2 linked regions of the Pelodiscus sinensis genome follow. The protein of the gene in region 1 interacts with the protein of each later gene in a pairwise test. Links are inferred from orthologs where the notes say so. Each region holds a gene or a part of one and is shown in the gene's direction. Other genes may lie near its edges.

Region 1 (3,748 bases):
CATCTAAAAATGCAGCGGGATGCATTGAATGCATCATGATGTTCTTGTAGTGAATATAGTTGTGAGGTTTTAATACACAGAGAGTTTAATATTCTTTCAGCTGTTCAGAAAACTGAGACATGAAAGTCCATTTGGGATTAGAATTCCATGTTTGCAGGATTGCACCTTTTAGCAGCCGTGACAGCTAATGAACTGTTTTTCCTGGTTCCCTTTGTACTTATAATAGTTACAATATGTGGATTCAGCGTCCCTTGTTTGAAGGCTCCAACCCCCTCCCGGCTCAGGCACTGTGAATCTTGTACTGAGCCAAATTCAGCTCTGCTGTAAACCCCTTTACATGGGAGTCTTCACTTTAGCTCCTTGATCTCAGGCCTTCTGCGCGCAGGGGGGACCCTAGGAATGGCCATGCAGGATCCAAGCAAGCCCCAGTCCTGTTACTAGTTTGCTGGGAGGTCTTGGGCTATTTACTTCAGCTCCTTGTATCTCACCTTCCTCTTCTGAACATGATGGTACTGACCAAGACCTGCTTCATAGGTGGGCAGCTGTGTGTAGTTAGATTGTATGCCTCCCAGCATTTCCAGTGGCCAAAGTGGGACATGTTTGGCCCCTGGGGGTGGAAGGCGTGTGTGTGTGTGTGTCATCCGCTGCCCCAGTGGGTCTGTCCTGGATTCACCTCTCAGCAGCTGTCCTGTGGGCCTGGCTGTGCCCAGCTCCCTACGCAGCACTGAAACCCTGGGCACCAGGGACCAGGTTGCAATGCCCAGAATGGGGACCAAGCCCAGCCAGCCCTTTGGGACAGGAGCTTTTTCAGCAAAGAGATGGGAGTTTCACGGGTCAAAGCAGGGACTATAGGGAGAGATGTGACTATTCAGTGTTTTGAACATACAAGGTGCTGTCTAAGGGTTAATCTCTCTGCAGTCTCGTCTGTAGCACAAAGCTGGCAGTGATGTAACTAAATCAAACTTAGGCGTATTCAGAAACAGAATTATTATTATTATTCAGCTTGGGTGGTGCAGACCACCACCCTCCTTGTGCTAGGTCCTGTACAAGCACATGGACAACAGACAATCCCCGCTCTATGGAGTTTATCTTCTTGGTTTTCTTGATTTGATTTGATAATTTACCAACCTAAATTAAATCAGCTTCAGCCAGGCATGGGGGGGGGGGAGGGGGGGGCTGAATCTATCTGATTGGTACGGCTGGGACTAGATTGATTTTAAATAGATTAAACAAGGAAGAGTCTTGTGAAGCCTTAAAGACTAACAGCTGTATCTGAACATACACTTTTGTGGCTAAAAATCACGGTCAGGCATCGAAGTGGTTTTTACCAACCCAAGTTTGGTTCGTCTCTAAGATGCCACAGGACTCCTCCTTGTTTTGACAGACAGACTAGCAGGGCTGCCCCCTCTGGGACTGAAATAAATTGAGTGACGGGGGCGAGGGGGGCGCTTTTCTGTTGCAGACCAGCCCTGCCTCTGGCTGTGCGCAGGCGGCTGTGTGTTTCTGCCATTTCGAGCTCCCTGCCGCTGGAGGGGCTGGTTTTCAAGAGCTGCCGCCAGGTTTCGCAGGGAGCCGAGCTCTCCCATGGAAGGGCCTGACTCCCTCCAGGGCCCTGCTTCCGAGGGTGCCGCAGCCGGGAGGGCGAGATCCTGACAGCGGCGCTTTGGAGAGCCGCGCGCTCCACCTCCCCGGCGTGGCGCTGTGTAGCTCTCGCCTCCCTTCCCCGCCCCCTGCCGGAGTGTCAGCGCGGCTCCGGCTGCCCTTCCCCTGCCAGTCCAGCGCCTGGCTTTGCCGGCTCCCGGCGCAGCAGCGCGGCTCCCCGGCGTGGGTGGGAGCGGGCTGCCCGGGGCTTGACAAACCCGCTGCGCGCAGCCAGGAGCGCGGACGCCGCGGCGGCTGGGGAGCGAGGCAGAGCCGCGCCGCGCCGGGTCCGCATGGGGGGCTCGCGTCCCGGCGCCTTCCCATGGTGAACCGAGCGCGGGCGGAGCGGCGCCATGCCGAGGCGGGCAGCCCGGAGAACATGTTCGAGAGCTCGCGGCGGACGAGGAGCCTCTGGGACGGCGTGAGGCTGGAGGTGGCCGGCGAGAGCAGCAGCCCCGTGGTGCTGCACAGCTTCACCCAGCTCGACCCCGACCTGCCGCCGCTGGAGGTGAGGCGGCGCCGGAACCTGGCCCCGGGCGAGCCTCAGGGTGCGTGGGTGGGTGAACATCACTGGTGCAGTGAGCTGCTGGGTCTCAGCGGAGCTGTCTGGCGGAGCCGCTGAGTCTAGAGCGGGCATCGCTTTGCCAAGGTCCAAATGTGCTGGGCAAGGTATAGCCAAGGGCCAGACACAATAAAAACAACCCCCCTCGGCCCCCCAGTAATTGTAAGTCAATCAAAAGATTTCGGGGTCTGTTCGAAAGCACATGGTGGTGGGGCTGTGGCCCGCCTGCCTCTTGATTAGGCTGGTTTGGACAGTGTGAGCCCCTGCCCCACAATTTGTGTGCAGGCTTCGTGTTTCATTCTTCTCTAAGCGACCCCCTCTTTATGGAGGTCAGATTCCCCTTGGATTTGGTGCTTTTGGGTTGTTGACATATGGCTAAAACACTGGGAGGAAGGGGGGGTCTTAGCTGATTTATGTTGCAGGTGATCATTGAGTGTGTGGTGTCATTTTACTCACTGTAACCACGGGGCATGGGCATGCTGCCTTTTCTCAGCATAGGGTCCCCCAGGCTGGTTTGCAGGTGGTAGGAGTTTGTACGGTCTCTGCCCAACAGGTTTCTGATGCTGGTTTATGTTGTGCATCTGATGCCCAGAAGCTGAGCCCTGGCATGGACCGGGAAACTGAAGCATATGGTGCAGGCTGCTCCGGAAGGAGAGGAGCACAGTCGAAAATATTCTGGCAGTTCTTTTTGCTTTTATGTCAGAATGGTAAATAGCTGCCCTCTGTGATCTCTTTACTCCCCTCTTATGCCATTATCTTTCTGGCAGGCTTGCTGCCAAGCTGGAATATCTATTAGGAGAAAGCAGAGAGATGCGCGCCATCTGATGCAGCTAGCAGAAGGGAGCAGAGAGCTAGAACCAGGGCCTTTTAAATATTTTATTTGAGAGTCTGGCATCCTGCTGGAGGCTTGCTGTACCGTCTGCTCAGACTCTAGCTGCCTGTGAAGGCTTCGGGCCTGCCCAAGTTGCAAAAAAAGGACCCAAGCAATATCCTCCCCCGCTGTGGGGATTGGCTTGTAAGACACTCAATGGAGGATGAAAAACAGCCATACTCTAAGTCTAAGGCACGACCCTGGATCTTTCTAGGACGCACTGGCCCTCTGTGGCTCTTGCTGGCTTCAGATCACGGGTTTGCTGGTTGGAATTGCGGCTGTCCTTCTAGGGGGATGAGTGGCACACAAAGCAGCCTGCTTTTTGCCAGCAAGGAGTTGGGAAAACGTGGGGAACCCTAATCGAATGAGCAGTTCAGGGAAGGGAGATTGCATAGCCCAGCATAGCATAAGTAAGGGAACATGAGGTGCTCAGGTCAATGTTGGAGACCCACAAAGCATCTCTTGGTATGTCTCAGCAAGCCAGGTCTATACCCATCTACTGCTTCTCAGTTCTCTGGGTCAAAAAGAGCATTGTGCCCTTCACCTGCTAGGATAGTGACTTTGGTGCAAGGTGGTGTATGTGTTCAGGAAACTTCCACCCATCCCTGGATAACTAATGCTGCGTTTCACAGCTGGCTCGTTCGTTTTGTCTGGTTCTGTCCATTGGTTGGATA
Region 2 (3,748 bases), on another chromosome or scaffold:
CCTGGAATTCTTATGGAAAACCCCCGACTCTTCACCTGAACTGCCAGTTACATTGTAACCCTTTGAATTGATTTCAGAGAGCCTTTTACAAATCAGCAGCCTCATTGTCTCTGCTATGAAACTAGATAAGGACTTTACACTTATTCATATGTATATTGATTTTTTAACCATTTGTAACTCTTCTTTTTTCCCTTTATTAATAATTCTTAGATTTATTTATTAAGGATTAGCTAACAGTGTGATTTTAGAGAAGATCTGGGTTTGCTGTTGAACTTGAAGTGTCTGATCCTTTGGGACTGGCAGAACTTTATGTATGGTTAACAGGATTTCCAGTAACCTCTCACTATGTTAGACTTGGTTGTTTAGATGGGAGCCAAGGGCTGGAATGCCTAAAGAACACTGTGTTTGGCTTTGGTGGAGCTAGTTATAGAATAAACCCACTAGTTTTGGGGATTGTGTACCCCATTTCTTATAGTCTGCCCTAAGCGTGGTATTTTCAATGTGGCCCATCCATGCACCCCAGTCACAGTTATGGTTAACAACGCTTTATGGTGGAAAGGTGAACAGGTCTGATGAAGGGCCATGTAAAGTTGGTAAAGTCACCAGGATCACACTCTGTTCTAATTCCACATATACAACCTCCTGGGATAAGCTTGCCACTCTTTCTCCATTTCCACTTATAGCATTAATGAGGGTTACAATGTCTCCTATGCTGAGTCCATCTTTGAAAAACTAACTTTCTTCCTCAGCTTTAAAAATGAAGACAAGTTAATCATTTGTGAGATTGCAGGAAGCAAGGGGCAAACGCTGTTTGTGTGAATACAATGGTTTTCCGGCGGGAACAGCAAAAGGAAAAGTGAGATCTTATGTAGGAGTAAAGGCAGGCCTGGGCAAAATACAGCCCATGGGCCAGATCCCTTCCTCCAAGCCACTGGATCTGACCCGCGGAGGCAGCGGGGAGCCCCAGGCAGGCTCATGAGCTTGCCCCGCATTCCCGTGCGCTGTGCAGAAAAGTGGCTGCAGGGCTCCATTTTTGTTTTGAACCTGGAGGGGAGAAGGGAAGTTTTAGGAGCTGCACTGCCCCCAGCACATTCCCCTTGGCCAGTTTTTGGCAGAAACTGGCTAATGGGAGCTGCTTGTTAGACTAACAGGCAACTAAGAAGAATCACACCCCTCTCTTGGGCTCAGTTATTCATGAAGGTCATGGCCAGGCAGGCAGGCTGGCTGACTGGGAAACATTTTAAGCTCTGCAGGCAGGCAGGCAAGTTTGGCAGCTGACAAGTAAGTCTGTTGGCCACAGCCTGCTTCTGGCAACCCAGCCCTTTCCTGCCCAAAATCTCTGCCCCTCCCCCCCCCACTCAACATACCCAAACCCTCTGTTCCCCTCTTACACCCATACCCCCTTCCAGATCTGGCACCGCAATCTCCTGCCCCAGATCACAATCCCCTCCTACCTTAGGTCACATCCCAAACCCCTGCACTCTAGTCCCCTGCCCTAGGTCACAACCATCTCCTTCGCCCAAACTCCCTCCCAGACTCCAGTCTTCTTGCTGCACCCCAGTCCCTTACCCAAGCTCCCTTCTGCACCCAATCTCCATTCCAGACCCCTCATCTCCATTAATATCATGGAAGAGTGCGTTCCTTGACCACTTTCCAAAATCTTGGTGTGGCCCCCTGTCAAAAATTATTGCCCACCCCTGGGTAAAGGGCATAGGGGTGCTGGATGGACTTTTGGGGACAGGTTCAGACAAAAGCTGGCAGTCACTTCAGGTTTCTTTGGCCAGGGATTTTGAAACATAGATCCATTTCTGGGAAAACACATCTAGGTAACAAACCCATGATGTTAGCTTTTTGAAATAGTTTGCTTCTTAGGTTAGAACTGTAGTAGAAGTTCACTAAATCACACTTCACTAATCCTCGCACCCCATCATTTGCACACATTGGACTAGATTCTGATATTGCTTGTTGTTTTTTACATCAGTTTAACTCCATTGACTTCCGTGAAGTTGTTTTCATTTACATTGTGAGATCAGAATACCCAGCAATTTCTCCCTGTTTTTCAGCAATCATTTAACACCGTGGTCCCCAACACGGTGCCCACGGGCGCAATGGCGCCCGCGGGGGCATTTCCATGCGCCTGCCAGGTGCTCGGGGCTGGCCTGGCACCGGGCGCAGGGCAGGGGGAGCGCCGGCCCCGGGCGCGCGGCGCAGGGCGGGGGGAGCACCGGCCCCGGGCGCGCGGCACTGGGCGGGGGGAGCGCCGGCCCCGGGCGCGCGGCGCTGGGCGGGGGGAGCGCCGGCCCCGGGCATGCAGCTATGGGGGGGCGCCCCGGGCATGCGGCTATGGGGGGGGCCGCCCCCAGGGCGCAAGTGTCCCCGCCCCCTGGCGCCCGGCGGGCGAACGGCCCCGCCCCCTGGCACCCGGCAACCTTGAAAGGTTGGAGATCACTGATTTAACAGAAGCCTCTGGTGTGGGTCTCTGTTACTTTCACAACATTCACTATGGAACACTGATACTTCATTGTATACTATTATTAAAACTACAATGGTCAACCAAACAAATGCATTCTGTGATGTATTTTCCTTGATTTTTTTAACCCTGTTTGCTCATTTACTACTTAATTTGCTAAATTCAGTAATACTGTGACATGGATTACTCGGTCATTAGTGAAGTTCCATGTGACGTGACAATGTTAAGTCTACAAAGCTAATTTTCCATGTTTAATTTGTAATCCTAAAGCCTGTCACCTTAGAAAGGAGGTTATTAAATACACATGCACACACACTCAGTGTAGGCCTACTTTAGCATAGGCAAATTATCTGAATTTCATGCAGACTCAGCACTGAAGAGTGAGTGAGGCCAACATTTCCTTTGGGCAAGGCACTGAAAGGAAATTGGAGGAAGGTTGCACAATAAGTGAACCTTCAAAGGAAACATGGAGTTGGAGAAAGGACTGCAGGAGAGGGAGCACAGATTATAAAGAGAATGAGATTCAGAACTGATGAATTTATGAGAGTTAATGATGGACAGCTGTAGGTGAGCAAAGTGGGGTGGATCTTAAAATATATATTCTTGTGCCGGGGGGAAAAGAGTTGGAAGGAAAGAATGGATTGTGTTATGTGAGAATGGAGAAAATAAGTAAAGAGATTAATTGCATAGAAAAAGGGGAAAGTAGGGACAGGGAGACTGTGGATTTGGGAAAAGAAGTTGTGGATTTCAGGGATTAGGAGAAGTAGAAGGGAATGGTGAAGGAGAGAGAAATTTGGAATCATGGAGAAAAGAAAGTGAGGGAGAGAGAAGTAAAGAGAGAGAGACTTCAAAATATAGAAAGGGAGCAGTGGGAATGGAGATATTAACCATATAGCATGGGTTACAGAGACGTGAGGCTGCTTCTTTATATGTCTGTGTTTGGGCCTGGGAAATGTGAAAGGGCATTTAGTGCTTGGCTTTGTGTGTGTGGCATTTATGGGTAATTTAATATAATATCATTTGCCAATTGGCAAGTTATTCAGGTAAAGAATACCAGATATATACACAGTAAACATGTTAATTTAATATATAAAATGATTATATACAAGTGTCTTAAAATCTACTCTAACTGTACATTGTATTTTTAAAATTTCCAGAGAATGCCCTTCAGGACGCATTCTCCTCCTCCGCACCCCCATTCCTATTTAAGTTTGGTGATTCCTGATAGCTCCCCAAAGCCTCCCATTTCCTTTTGGCTAGCTATGGGCCTACTCAGGG

The links. The genes of interacting proteins can lie anywhere in the genome.
Region 2: the proteins of RALGDS (region 1) and KRAS interact in a two-hybrid assay, tested with the Homo sapiens proteins (3 studies listed by BioGRID and IntAct). The link is inferred for Pelodiscus sinensis from reciprocal best matches to the Homo sapiens genes RALGDS and KRAS.

What each region holds. Positions count from the first base shown.
Region 1 is NC_134732.1:15,952,618-15,956,365, reverse strand, and holds the start of RALGDS (ral guanine nucleotide dissociation stimulator), read left to right. Parts: upstream 1-1,449; 5' UTR 1,450-1,963; coding exon 1,964-2,149; intron 2,150-3,748. UniProt on the Homo sapiens protein: Functions as a guanine nucleotide exchange factor (GEF) activating either RalA or RalB GTPases and plays an important role in intracellular transport. Interacts and acts as an effector molecule for R-Ras, H-Ras, K-Ras, and Rap.
Region 2 is NC_134711.1:118,850,420-118,854,167, reverse strand, and holds the start of KRAS (GTPase KRas), read left to right. Parts: upstream 1-949; 5' UTR 950-957; intron 958-3,748. UniProt on the Homo sapiens protein: Ras proteins bind GDP/GTP and possess intrinsic GTPase activity. Plays an important role in the regulation of cell proliferation.